Drosophila melanogaster: one gene and its partners. The gene in region 2 interacts genetically with the main gene of each other region. Each region holds a gene or a part of one and is shown on either strand. Other genes may lie near its edges.

What was found.
Region 1: of faf (region 2) and Dcp-1, changing one suppresses a phenotype caused by changing the other (phenotypic suppression), as found in Drosophila melanogaster (one study listed by BioGRID).
Region 3: of faf (region 2) and wnd, changing one suppresses a phenotype caused by changing the other (phenotypic suppression), as found in Drosophila melanogaster (one study listed by BioGRID).

What each region holds. Positions count from the first base shown.
Region 1 is NT_033778.4:23,549,432-23,554,089, forward strand, and holds Dcp-1 (death caspase-1), read left to right. Parts: upstream 1-1,881; 5' UTR 1,882-2,291; coding exon 2,292-2,443; intron 2,444-2,869; coding exon 2,870-3,432; intron 3,433-3,492; coding exon 3,493-3,749; 3' UTR 3,750-4,116; downstream 4,117-4,658. Other genes in the region: pita, read right to left, coding at 1-460, 517-1,605. UniProt on the Drosophila melanogaster protein: Involved in the activation cascade of caspases responsible for apoptosis execution. Proteolytically cleaves poly(ADP-ribose) polymerase (PARP). Loss of zygotic DCP-1 function causes larval lethality and melanotic tumors.
Region 2 is NT_033777.3:31,775,069-31,780,033, forward strand, and holds the start of faf (fat facets), read left to right. Parts: upstream 1-1,951; 5' UTR 1,952-2,114; intron 2,115-2,174; exon of another isoform or gene 2,175-2,496; intron 2,497-2,569; exon of another isoform or gene 2,570-2,683; intron 2,684-3,103; 5' UTR 3,104-3,397; coding exon 3,398-3,690; intron 3,691-4,291; coding exon 4,292-4,440; intron 4,441-4,494; coding exon 4,495-4,965. Other genes in the region: CG2126 (uncharacterized protein), read right to left, coding at 283-434, 491-625, 680-852, 916-1,128, 1,181-1,314, 1,377-1,484. UniProt on the Drosophila melanogaster protein: Ubiquitin C-terminal hydrolase involved in development and the imd/NF-kappa-B (IMD) signaling cascade. Required for eye and embryo development, and plays a role in compound eye assembly and oogenesis respectively.
Region 3 is NT_037436.4:19,632,742-19,637,489, reverse strand, and holds the start of wnd (wallenda), read left to right. Parts: upstream 1-1,706; 5' UTR 1,707-2,059; exon of another isoform or gene 2,060-2,068; intron 2,069-3,026; 5' UTR 3,027-3,109; coding exon 3,110-3,258; intron 3,259-4,393; exon of another isoform or gene 4,394-4,748.

The DNA.
Region 1 (4,658 bases), on a different chromosome or scaffold from region 2:
TCTGGTACGGCTCCATTTCCACCACATGATCGTCCTCGATGTGGCGCTGCAGGCATTTCTGCGTCAAGAAGATGTGGTCACAGAACTCGCAGGCATGGCGCTCGCTCTGCTTGTGCTGGTCCATGTGGCTCTCGACACTGTCGATATCTTCGATCTGCTTGCGACACATGGGACATTTCAGGCTGGCGGTGGCATGAATGAGCGCATGATCCAGTAGGTCGTTATAGTTGCTGTACGACACCTTGCACTCACTGCACACGAACGAGGCGTCGGAAGTCTGCGTGTGCGTGCGCAGGTGGCGCGAGAGATGATGCGACAGCATGTAGGACTTGTGGCAGTACTTGCAGGGATAGGCTCTCTTCCCGGCGTGGGCAACCAGGTGGCGGGCCAGCTTGGAAGCGGTGGAAAAGCTTCTCTCGCAATGCTGACAGGGGAAGGGAAGATTGGTGGAGTGGACTGTCTGAAAGTGGACATAATCGTTAGCCGGGGCAATCCCAAATATGCTTGTCAACCCACCTCATGACGCTCCAATCCCTGCTTGAAGGCAAACGACTTGGTGCAGACACCGCATTGGAACGGACGCTTCTTCTGATGTCGCTCGGCGTGCTTCTCCATCTCCTGGCGCGAAAGGAAGGGCTTCTCGCAGTACACGCAGATGAACTTGGGTACGTCCGTGTGGGTGCGCTCGTGGCGATGGAGCAATGCCTTCCGTGTGAAGGCTTTCGAGCAGATGGCGCACTTGAATGGCCGCTCGCCGGTGTGCACAAAGTTGTGCTTGGCCAGGTCGTACTTGGAGAAGAAGCTCTTCTCGCACAGGAGACACTGGAAGCTGCGCGAGCGAGTGTGATTCAGCCGATGGATCTCGAGCAGCTGCTGCAGCGGAAAGGAGCGTTCGCAATCGGGACAGGGGAACACATCGGTGGCCACCTTCTCGGCGTTCTTGGTCGGATCATCTTGATCGTCCAATGGCAGATCCGAGTCCAGAACCTCTGTCACTATGGCCACATTGCCACTATCATCTCGCTTGACTTTGGGTGTGGCCAGGCGCGGTTCCACCGGAGCGGCGGGTCCCTTGTTCAAGATCCTAATCGAGGACTTGTTCAGCACCTTCGGCTTGACGGGTGATGCCTTCTGGGGGATATCGGGGAACTCCTTCTCTAGCTCACTGGCCATATCCTCCAGCATGCTCTGCACATCGTCCATGGACAGCTCCTGGTTGTTATCCACCTTCAGCTCATAGGCGTGCGAACGACGTGGCACTGGAGAGGAACCGGCTACCGTCCTGGGGGTCACCATGGCGCTCTCCAGCACCTGGACGTCCTCGATGATCACCTGACTACTGGATTTGGCCATTGTGTTCAGCAGCTTTTTGGGCGTTTCGCTTGGCTCGGCTGTCTTTGCTGGCACGACCAACAACTTCTTGGAAGCCACCATCGTCATGGGCGCACGGGGCTTCTCCAGCGGCGATGGCCAGTTACCCGTGAGCGGATACTGGCGCAGGAGGGTCTCCGCCCGCTTGCACATCTGCTTGAAGCGGTAGCAGTGCTCGAAGAGGAGGCGGCACTCCAGACAGATGTGCCCCGGCATTCCGTCGCCGGCGTAGACCTGTTTTTAATGTTAGATTAGATAAATGTGTGAGTGACTAGGAAGCTACATTTATTCGGGGAAGTCCGTGCTTAAGCCAAATAATAAGGTAATATTCGTGGAACACCCCTATATGTTTTTCGCTACATAATAAATTAAACGCCATAAATGTCTCTTTCCCTTAAAATGAACAATATAATGTTAGAGTTTAAATTTAAACAAAGGCGCCGAGGACCAGAACACCCTCTACAAATTAATCGATGGCCACCAATCGATGATTAGTGCTATCGACGAGCGGCCATCGCCGCTTGGCGGCAAGTGCATACACACGACTACATGCAATCGCAGTTTGTTTTCGCCGCTCAGAGCACGCTTAACCTCCGTTAATTGATTGATTAAACACGTCCGACTGTGAGCCATAAAAGGACATTCGCTCGATCGAAAGCCGACAAAAGCTGGCTGAGAAGCGCAAAACAGCTGCGCTGCGCAAAGTTTGGCCAACGCAGAGCAATAGAAAACAGAAGCAGTGTCAGAATAAAACAAGAATCAGACCAAAAAGGGCGCAACAACTGCGGAGAGAGAAAAGGAAGGAAAGAGCAGCGCGTGAGCGAGGGAGGAGCAGGAGGGAGCGAACAAAAGGCAAGAGGAAACACAAGGAGAAACGCAAACAATCAAAACAAGAACTTAAGCAAGAAAAGGGGCGCAAGATGACCGACGAGTGCGTAACCAGAAACTACGGAGTAGGCATTCGCAGCCCAAATGGATCGGAAAATCGGGGCAGCTTTATAATGGCTGATAATACCGATGCCAAGGGCTGTACGCCGGAGTCTCTTGTTGTTGGTGGTGCAACTGCAGCGAGGTGAGTCCATGTGCCTCGCTCTCTCCCTCTCCCATCTCTCTCTTTATGTTTCTGTGTTTTGTTATCAATGCAAGTACTGGCATAACTGCTATATCCTAGTTTCAAATGCAGCATATAAAGCTCTTTTTTTTTTATTTATTCCATTTTCATTCCACAATCTATTATTTTTATATTATTTATACTGTCTATTGCCAACATTTAAAATCAATGTGTCAATCTGTCTTTATAATGTTGTTAAAATGGCTGAAGTCACAAAGTTTGAAAGCACTTGACTTTAATTCTATTGTTCTATTTAGTCTTATTCACAAATATATTTGAAAATAATTACATAAATAAATACCCAATCATCGATTATTTCGCCGATTACCTTATCTTATCATGCTGCTTCCCAAATGGCTATTATAATTCTGATTTCTTTTTCCCCAGCCCCTTGCCGGCCAACAAGTTTGTGGCTCGAATGCCCGTGGAACGATATGCAAGCGAATACAACATGAGTCACAAGCACCGCGGAGTTGCGCTGATCTTCAACCACGAATTCTTCGACATACCCTCGCTGAAGAGCCGCACCGGAACAAATGTCGATGCCCAAGAGCTGAAAAAGGCCTTTGAAAACCTGGGATTCGCGGTGTCCGTGCACAAGGACTGCAAGTTGAGGGACATCCTGAAGCACGTGGGGAAGGCCGCCGAGTTGGACCACACGGACAACGACTGCCTTGCGGTGGCCATACTCTCGCACGGGGAGCACGGCTACCTGTACGCCAAGGATACGCAGTACAAGCTGGACAACATCTGGCACTACTTCACTGCCACCTTCTGCCCCTCGCTGGCGGGCAAGCCGAAGCTGTTCTTCATCCAAGCCTGCCAGGGCGATCGCTTGGACGGAGGCATCACTCTGGAGAAGGGCGTTACCGAGACGGACGGGGAGTCCTCGACGAGCTACAAGATACCCATACACGCCGACTTTCTCTTCTCCTACTCGACCATTCCGGGTAAGGAATATGATTAGGTAACTATTTTAGTGAATTTCACTAGCAATCTCGTCCTGTTAGGCTACTTCTCCTGGCGCAACATCAACAATGGCTCCTGGTACATGCAATCGCTGATCCGCGAGCTGAACGCCAATGGCAAAAAGTACGACCTGCTCACCCTGCTTACATTCGTTAACCAGCGCGTAGCCCTAGACTTTGAGTCGAACGTGCCCGCCACACCGATGATGGATCGCCAGAAGCAAATACCGTGCCTCACCTCCATGCTGACGCGCATACTGCGCTTCGGCGACAAGCCGAACGGCAATAAGGCTGGCTAGGAAGAGATCTCCCTTCGAAGAAGAACTTTCAACAGAGGTTGTACAACCATCGCCCGCAATCATTCACGTTGGATTCCAATTCACTTCAAGTTTAGTTTTAGCTGACGCGTGCGATTATCCCGATGGATATTGAAGCACCCGACTCCCTTTCATTCATTCCCCTGCCTTTCCCATGCCCATTTCGGCCTTATCATTGACGAAATTCGTTACCCATTTACCCACTAGATGACTTCCGTATGCATAAGCGAGACCTTGCCAATAGAAAACCCACAAATTTGAGATAAGATAATACAATGAAGATTTATACATACATACATACTTTTATGTACACGCAAACATTTATATTTGATATGAATAAAAATGAATTAAAAACATAGCAAGGTATCTCCCCAATTGAACGTAGATGGGTAATTTCGATCTAAGCAACTTTGTTTGAAGACAGGAGCTGTCTGGGCCAGATTGAGTACGTTGATATGGGAAATAAAAGATAACAATGAAGACTTGGTTGGCTGAATCAGTGAAATTGTACGAAACTTTAGTGGAATTCAAATTAGCATTATTAAGAGTGATTAATTAAGATTTTTCTCACTCTAATTTTATTAATTTCCTAAATTTTATATTTATTTCCTAATTTTATAATTTAGGAAATTAATAAAATTAACCAAATGATGATTTTTGCGTAAATATAAGTATCGAAGGAACTATTAATGCATTTAAATATGATCTCGATTTGAATTTAGCGCCAAAAACAACTGACAGCTGTCAGGGCGATCAGCTGTTGACGCACTAGTGTGCGTGTGGCGCAGTACAGTTGCCCCAAATCGCAGAAATTTTCATTTTTCTTTGCACAAGAGGAAAAAGGGAAAGCCCAATGATTAGCCAACTAATTGGGCTGTAACCTGGTCGCAC
Region 2 (4,965 bases):
TTGTATTTAATATTACTATATGTGTATAATTAATGTGAAATATAATTAAAACGAAAAGAACGAAGAATGAATTAAGCTTGTGCGACGAAAACACTAAATAGACCTGCTCCTAAATTTGTTTCTCAACGGCTTTTAGAGCCGCAATTATACTCGGAACAGGTCTGAGTCTGAGCTACATACTAAATGTAAATAAATTAATTGACGCGTACACTACACATAGATAACAACAGTCGATCGACGAGTTCCCCGGGCGTGAAAAATTTGCATCTGGACGTCGCCGCATCAAATTCTCGACTCCAGCTCCCGGAACTCGGCAGGATCCGTGAAACGTACGGTCAAAATATAGAACAGTGTGGGGAAGGGCACCAAGCACATAAAGGCATAGTGGTAATTCAGGGAGGTGAGGCCGTAGGCCAACAACATCCAGTGCACAGCTGGGAAAGTAAGCTGCTGGTATACTTTATGTATGGTGAATGCGCACTTTGCTTACCTATGATGACCACGTTTTTTAACTCCCACACCGACGAGTGAACCAATGCCTTTAGGGTTTGATCCAGTTTGAGGGAATAGTGGATGGCATTGGCTACCATGGATATGGCCACGCTAAGGTACGGAAAGGAGTAATCTGAAAAAGAAAAGATCTCAAGACCAAAATATTAGCAAGCACTTAAGTACTCACAGATCAACCCACATCCTAACGCATGGATAAAGGTGAGCAGGGGCAGGAAGTAAAGAGCCGAGTAAATCGGCGCCTTGCTTCTGCCCCCCACATCCATAATTTTGCTGACTAGCGGGCGTATGAGAAACATGTTCACCAGGCACAGAAAGTAGAAAACCAGCACGATGGTTTGCCTGGAAATTGAACATTAAAGTGACTATTGTGAACACCTGGAGCCTTGGGTGGCTGGGTCTTACAATGGGTAAACTGCCTCCTGGGTGCAGTAGACTCGTGCCTCATAATTGGGGCTGGGGTTGTAAAACAATGTGTACCAGTCAGTAAGTTTTCGAACATCACAGGCGTAGAGGCGCAGCTCCCACATGGGCTCCATTAGCAAGGTGGCGAGGATGGCAGATATGGCAACCTCAACGAAAGCGCTGGCCGTCAAGATCAGCTGCTTCCGCGAAAACCTATGTGAATTCACTAAGTAAGTTCTTCTTCCAGTTTGATTAGTTCACTCACTTGCGATCCTTGGCGTCCATGTCAATGAAAAAGCAGTGCATCATAAGTGGCAGCATGGTCATGAATCCCAGGTATAGCCAGGAGTACGTGCTTAACTCGTCGCGGCATGGAGAGCATGCGTAACTTTGGTTCACCTGAACAATATAAAAGTAAATTATTTTCCAGGCGCCGTTCCGAAGGATGCTAGAACATTAACCCGAGATCCTCTGGGACAGACCCCGCAGCTGCTCCAGCTGTTGTTTCCTAGCGGTGATCGCCCACAGTAGGCTCCTGGGCAGCGTTCCAACGCGTCGTACATTCTCATGAAATCAAAACAATTACTTCGTATTGTATATTACATTAAACAAAATAAAAACAATACTCCTATCGATATCGGACTTATCGTTATCAGTAGGACCACTGAATAAACGAATAGGTTGTTCGTGCACTTAAATTAATACTAATTTATAAAATGATAATACATCAGAAGCACATGCGAAATGTATTAAAAATAAGGAAATTATTTTCTACAGATTATATAATGGGCCCTAAGACTGCTTTCTAATTTGATCAAATTAATAATACTATATGTTTTTATATATTTATTTACAATTAAACATGACTAGTAGAGTGTACATTCTTACAGTGCATTTCAATGATTTGATTTTATTTGAAATCCCAATTGCCAGAAATTTAAATTTAGGGTCCCTTATATGTACCACATAAACCAGTTCGATAGGCGCGCTTTTGGCATGGCCTGATAACTCTGGTAAAAAGCACCGCGCGAACCGGTTCAATTCATAACTAGTTCGCCCGAACTGCACAACCCTAGCAAAAGAAATAGCTTAAATATAATTTATTTAACGCGAATTGGACAACGAGCGGGTAGAAAAAACCCTGTGGCCGCAACCGCGACGCTCGCAGGATACGCAGCTCTTCGCCGTCGGGCAGGCAGGTAAAAAGCAATGGCAATTGGAGTTGACCGCAGAACAACAGCAACGGCAGACGCCATTTTGTCTATTGGCCGGCTGATTTGTAAGCTCAATATTCGCGAAATAGTTACCGCGACTAGCTTCGAGTGGCGCAGCCAAGTAAGGGCTCCCCGCTGTCCAGAGCAAAGGCGAAAGGAAGAGCAATCGCCCATTTTGAGGCCTGCGAAAAGTTGGGACTCGGTCGTCAGTTCGCTCGATTCCATTTGCGAAAAATAAATGTACGTGCGCGTGAGGAAGTGTGTGTGCGCGTGAAAAAACAGTGAAAAATAATAAAAAGCCGCACTGGCCGCCGTCCTTGGGTGACTTCCGTTAATCTCTTACAACTTTTAAAGCTATAGAAAGAATGTGAGCAATTTACCGCCCTCGACACACCCAATGAACCGCTAATTTTGGCATCTTTCTATAACTTTATGCGTAGTTATTTTCACCACCCTTCGCCTACACCCTTTCCCCGCCCCTTTTTCCACCAGTGGCTCCCACCCACCGACCGACATTCCGCTTAAGGATGATGCCGGGCGGAGAGAGATAGAGAGTGAGTGCAAAATCCGTAAACTTGGACGTGATGTAATTTTCGGCAGGAAAATGTTCTTTGTTTGCCCAAAAAAATAACAATAAATAAATAAGAATGAAGAGCGAGGCGTAAAACAAAAACAATTTTAAATTAAACTCAAACGCACACACAAAAAGAGAGGGTTCTGTGGGTGAGCGTGCGTGCGTGTGAGTGGGTGAGAGCGTAATTTGTGTGCTTTTGGAGCATTATTTGGCGCTTGCTGCCCCGTCTATTAAATAATATTGATTTTTCATATTCCAACCCAGCGCTCTCTTACACACACGCAGGACCACTCACACACCCAAAACTGAGCTTCGTACACATGTGGGCCTTTTCGGTCTCTCTCTTAGCGCTGTATTTATCCGCCTCTTATTGCCTCTTTCGCTTCGTTGCACTTTATAGATTTTTGCAAACTGGCCGCTGACCAGGCATTGGGAAAAAGGACAATAAGAGGGAGCCCAGAGCAAGAAGTCCAACTAACCGACCAACTGTGCCTCAAGAAACAGCAAATCAGCGGGGAACTCCCAAACTGGACAAGCAGAAGCCCGGATACCTCACATTTGCCATAAGACACCAGTCAAAAAACGACGCGCACTGCAGAACGCATTAGGATTAGCCCGGCACTAGAGCTCGTGCATTAACATCCGCTTCCGGTGCTCCGCAGAACGAGTTGGCTGGAGAGGATACCCCGCCACCATGACGTTCGACACTCGTAGGCACACCACCGGACAGCCGGGAAGCACAGCGCCCAGCTCAAGCAGCAGCACCACCAGCACAACAACCACCACAACGAGTCCGGCGCAGAGTGCCGGATCAGGATCGGGCATAGGAACAGGCACAGGAACAGTCGCCAACTCGAGTCTGCCAGGAGGAGGATCAGGTAGCTTGGACGGCAACCAGGATCAACAGCCGGCCACAGACAGTCAGAGCTCTGATGACGTGGCCGCTTCCTTGTCAGCGAACAGCGTGGACAGCACCATCACAATAGTGTAAGTGGTCGTGCTGCCGTATTTGCATGACTCCGCCCAATTAGTCGGGTTTTGTGCGTAGCACCAGTATGACCGCCACCCCTAAAGATCCCCAACATTCGTGTGTTTACTTTTGCGTAGTAATTCTTCCACATGCATTCTTTGTTTGTCTATGGTTGGGCCAGCACAATGTTCGTAATTCATTTAACTATGTTTCAGATGATTTTGGCCAGGCCACTGGTTAGTGACCATAAATGTGGCAATAAATGTTATCTTTCTTTTTCTTCGATAGGTGCACTTGGCTGCTGTCCAGTTTTAGCAATGAACTTACCAAGCTTTACTAATATTACCTTACCCGGCTATTACTATCTCATTTTGAATGCCCGTCCACGGCCTATCTTATCGCTTGTCCATCAAAATAAGCTAACACTGAAAATTACAAAAAAAAAAAAAAAAAAAATGTATGCGTTTTGGCATTTATTTTAATAGAAATAACCATTTAATAAACAGAAATGTTTATGGAAGGGTGTGCTTTGATTGACCCCCTAAGAACTTTTTTTTTTATGTGTATTATTTAATTTGTTATTTTTAATATTGAATAATTGTCCATTTAATTAAATAGGCCTCCAGAGAAGCTTATATCCTCGTTTCCCACGACGAAACTGAGATCACTAACGCAAAAGATATCCAATCCGCGTTGGGTGGTGCCGGTGCTGCCTGAACAGGAATTGGAGGTTCTCTTAAATGCAGCCATCGAACTGACCCAGGCTGGTAAGTGTGTCCAAACGATTTATTTGATACCCTCTAAAGTCAATTTATTTGCAGGTGTGGATCACGACTGCGAGCCATGTGTGGAGTTTTATCGCAATGGACTGAGCACTTCCTTTGCCAAGATCCTAACCGACGAGGCGGTGAATTCGTGGAAGAATAACATCCACCACTGTATCCTTGTGTCTTGCGGCAAGCTTCTACATCTAATCGCCATCCACATGCAGCGAGACAATCCCTATCTGCTTGACTTGCTGGCTATTGTTTTTGATCCGGAGAACAAGTTCAACACATTTAACGCAGGCCGTCAACCGGAGTGCTTCGCAGCGCCGGACTACATCTGGGGTCAGTTGGACAGCAACAAAATGTACGCCCGTCCGCCGCCGGAGCCCAAGAATGCGCGTGGCTGGCTTGTGGATCTTATTAACCGCTTCGGACAGTTGGGAGGCTTTGACAATCTACTGGAACGGTTTAACATCGGACTGGAACTGCTGAAGCGCAACCAAAACAAGTGCACTGGCAAGAATA
Region 3 (4,748 bases), on a different chromosome or scaffold from region 2:
TATCTCAATGATCCTCAACTACCCTTAACTTAGACTTGTTAAAGGCAATTCTTGTGTTGAGATCATATACCCCCTCCCCCTCGCAAGTGGCACTGATTGACGGGCATGGAACCTGCACCCTGGACATGGAACTGGAACCCTGGGAGATACTGGCCCTCGGTGTCCCTCAAATGCGTGAAACCCTATGACTCATGCGCAATGGACCAAAAGAAAACGCCTGAGCCGCACGCAGGCAGCATAACAATTTATTGGTCAGAACATACAAGAAAAGGTATTTGTTGATAACGTGGAAGGGGGGAGGTGGCTCTAAGAAGGGAAAAGTGGATTGTGTGATTGGTAAGGATACACCGCGACAAAAAGATCTTATATACTTATGGCGTTATGCTGTTATCATGGGTGATAAAGGTAATATTTTTATACATATGTACGTAACATAATAATAAGTTGTTAATTTCGAAATATTTCGTGTATAGAATAATGCTTTTCCAATTCATAGTAGAGACATTTATTATGAATATTATATGCTATGGAAATTCTAAGTATGTAAATATACAATTGATCGCTGAATATATGCTATGGAAATTCTAACTATGTAAATATACAATTGATCGCTGAATTCGCTAAGTATTTTCCACGATGTAGAAAAGCCCCCACCCACTAACATGTTCTCCAAAGAGATCAGTCCTCTGTGGGTATGAGTCATCTTTGTTTATGTAGAAATTATGCTACCTGCTGCACTATGTTATTTTCATTTTCGTGCTCTACCTGTTGTGCGAAAGCGGAGGAGCAGGGGTATGGGATTCGACACAAATCCGGAGACACCGTTTTCACAGCTCTGCTCTTGTATAGCAATTCTTTGATGACGTGCCGAGTTTAACTACATACCCAGCTTATGACGTACAGACTGATAAGCTGATAGGTTGTTTACGCAAGCGAATTGCATTTAAGAACAATTTAAAGTTTAATTTTTATATGTATGTATGTTTGTTTGTGTATAAAGCGAAAAAGTATTAAGATCATACTTTAAGTAACTTAGCTCATGCTTTTATAACATATATTGATAAAACAAAATCAAAATACATACATACATTCTTTTTAAGAGTATCACTAAGTTTTTGACTTTCCTTAAATAGATATACATACATACATATCTAGTTATTTATTTCATTTATTAAGAAGCTGACTTTTAAATAAAATTAATACCCACATTTAGTATAAAAAACTGTCTAATAATAAATTTTTCTACTTTCAGATGTTCTTTCAAAATTTTAGATCAAAGTTTCCAAAAGTTGCTAATAGTATTCTTAAATTTAGTACTTAATATTCGAAAGAGAAAATAAAAATAGAAATGAAAAAGAGTGTGGTAAAAGCGAGGTTTTAGATATTCAACGACACACAAATGTGTACATCTAATTTCATTGATTTGAATTATTTAATTTATTTATTTTTGACTTCATTATCTTTTTAAGCATTATTTTGCTAAAAGCTCAGAAGCAGCTGCCATGAGCGCTTTTAGGCACTGAACACGATCGTGCACGTCGCTGACGAGAGCTTTATTAAACTTTTAAGCCAGATCCAGTTTCATTGGCACTATCAAGTAGAGTGTGGTGAGCAAAAGAAAAACGGGGATAATCGGAGAGGCGACAGCAACAACAACGACCCAGTGCCTTGGCAGTTGATGTCTGTTTGTGGTTGGCCATCCCGCGCAGTCGCGTTCTCCCGCACACTTGCGCAGTGAACACAACCTGCGCTCCAAACTGGTTTTGGTGGAGGAAATCCGCAAGAGAGAGCGCTAGAGAGCGGATTGGAACTCGGTTTCGGCCAAAGCCAAAGCAGAGCCAGCAGCCAGTTTTTGCTTTTTAGTCGATTTGTATCTACCTTTGGTGCGGACGGTTGGTCGGAATAAACGCGTTTCGCAGCGGAACTCCAAGAAGAGCAGAAAACCAGTCTTTAATTGTTCCATTTCAAGCTGAAATCAAATAAAAGTTCTTCGCCAATGGCTGAATAAAGTACGAATCAATGCAATCACTACGATTCGCAGTGGAAAATTGCTGGAAAAGTGAGCAAAGTGTGTGAAAAATGTGCAAATACAAGAATTTTTATATTGATTTTCTTGGCCAAAAGAGCGAACGAGCGAGCAAAAGGCAGCAGCAGAGGAAGAAGAAGAAGCAGCAACAGCACAAAGCTGCGCTGTAAGGCTTCCGTCGTTGGTGCGAGCAAGAGGGGAGGGCCCTACTGGGTGGGTGTGAACGAGACAGCAATAGCGAGAAATGTACTCTGGTGTGTGTGTGGGAACATTTATGTTTGTTGTTTTTGTTATGTTCTAGCTTTGGCCAAGTTAAATTAAAAAAAAAAAGAACAACAAGAAGTGGAGTTGTACACAGGAAAAAATGATATCAAGTGCCTTTTCTTCTAATATATGTTTATCTTTTGAAAAGCAAAAGATATTATTCAAATGAGAAAAAAAATAATCATAAAGTAATATTATTTGGCGAATTATATTTTTTTTTTAACAGAAAAAGATTCTGTACTATATCTCAAAAATAATTGGAAAAGCATCTAACTTACAAAAATGGGATACAATATATAAATACATTTTTTGATATCTACTTTTTTTTTCTGTGTACAAATAAAAAGAATACCTGTATGTGAGCTTGTGTGTGCGCCTATTCTTTTGTGCAATTCGCCTTTTAAAGGCATCATAAAAATAGCTCAGCCTGCAGTTTGAAAGTGAAAGAAAACCACATTTAAGCGGAATGCAAAGTGAATTGGCAGCAAGTGCAATAATCGACCCTTCTTCTTCCCGTGTTTGTGTGTTTAAATAGCTTTTTTTGCGTGGGTGCTATTGCTGTCTCGCTCCCGCTCCTGCTCGCATATCCTTTTGCCCTTTGCCGTTTGACGTCGTTTGCTTCTTATTGATTTTCGTCATTCATTGATAAGAGGTTGCGAACGAATGTGCGCGTGTGTGTGTCTGAAAAGGAAATCCCCAGCCAAAAAATACTAATGTTCGTGGTATCTCCATATAGCAACCGCTTTATTGACCAGAATGTCGTAAGGATCGATCATAGAGCCACCAATACACATACCCAAACCACACCAATCCTGGACAATGCAACCGTTCAGCGACAGTCTGAGCAAAAGTCGCGATGATCTGGTCACCGCCGCCTCCCGGCAACAACAACAGCTACACGGACGGAGGCGACACCACGGCAGCAGCCCCAACTTGTCGCTCGATCAGACCGACAATCTGCGAAGGAGGTGAGCATTATTATTATTAGACATTATGGTCGTGATGGCTAAGACAAAAACCTAAAAGTTTTAGAACGATTTTTGTTTGAGTTGATTATAGAAAAGTTGTTGGACATTTAGAAACTTTATTTAAAGAGTAATCACATAATTGATTAAATCTTAAAAAAAAAACTAAAAAGCAACCTCGAGCATAAAAACCCCAAAAAATAAATACTTTCAGCCATTAAAAACTCGTCGTGTTTAAGTAAAAGAAACAAAATCGGCTTGAAATTTTAATTAATATTTCAAGAATATGCCGCCGAATCGTGCTTAATTAAGCGGGGTAATCGACCTTCACTGTATACAAGTTTTTATGTAATTCGCAAGCAACTGAATACTCGAAAGTATTTAGCAGGTTAAACGATCGTTTAAAAATTTAAAAAGCCACAAAAATCTTGAACTGAGTAACAATAAAAAATTCAACTTTATCCGATAGATACAGGATTCTATTTCCCAAATAGGAGGCGTCAGCTTTATTTTCCTAGTTCCTAGTCTCACTAAGTAAATAGAAATCATTAGAAAGCACGTGCAAACCAAAAAAGCTTGTTGTGAAATAATAAAAAGTTATCACAGTAGATATTAAAAGAGCATAATAATGACAACAAAGAAGACAGACATACAGACATCTACTAAAACACTGCAAAACAACAGTGTTAACAGATAAGCAGATAAAAGGGGTTTCATTATTTAAATAGCGAAATACTAGTATTTAATAATTTTTTGTAATTGTGATTGATTATAATATTACTAAGGAGAGCACTCGATTTTCAGGAGTAGAGATAACAAGCACACGGAAATGTCTTCATAGGCAGTATCCACTGTAAAAAAAATTGGGCGATACAATTTGCAGGGGGGCGCAGCCAAAAACTTCCTATTCGCACACTTACATCCACAGCACGACCACCTGTATCTGTATTTGTGTGGATGTGTGTGAGATTTGATCATGTGTTCCCCACCATGAAAACTGGTTTTAAGTGTGACCAGATGGCAGCCTGGCCTGGGGAGACCTCGAGATGGTTGGCCAGTCGATACAGGCGCTGGGGAATGCGGTCAGTCTGACAACAACAACGCCGGATGATAACAGCAGATGAGAGCGGAGCGGGAGAGAGAGCTCCATCCGAACTGATACTGATAATGTGGAGCTAGACCGTTATGCTCACGCTGCGAGTCGCGATTTAGTTGGCGAAAATCAATCGCTTCTGGTGGTCGCTCTTTGCGCTTGAAATTCGCAAGCCTGCCTTAATTTGCGTCCGTGTGTTTGTGCGACAACAAAAACAAAAGCGAGCTTATCGCCAAATCAGTTTGCAGCCGTTGTCTGTGTGTTGGTGTGACGCAGTTGTGCGAAATACGTGAAATTATTGCATTTTTCCCCCCCAAACCCAACCAATAAGCAACAGTCTTGAAAAACCGCCAACGAAAGTGTTACGCGTCGCGTTCGTCTCTCTTTTCTTGTAATTAAT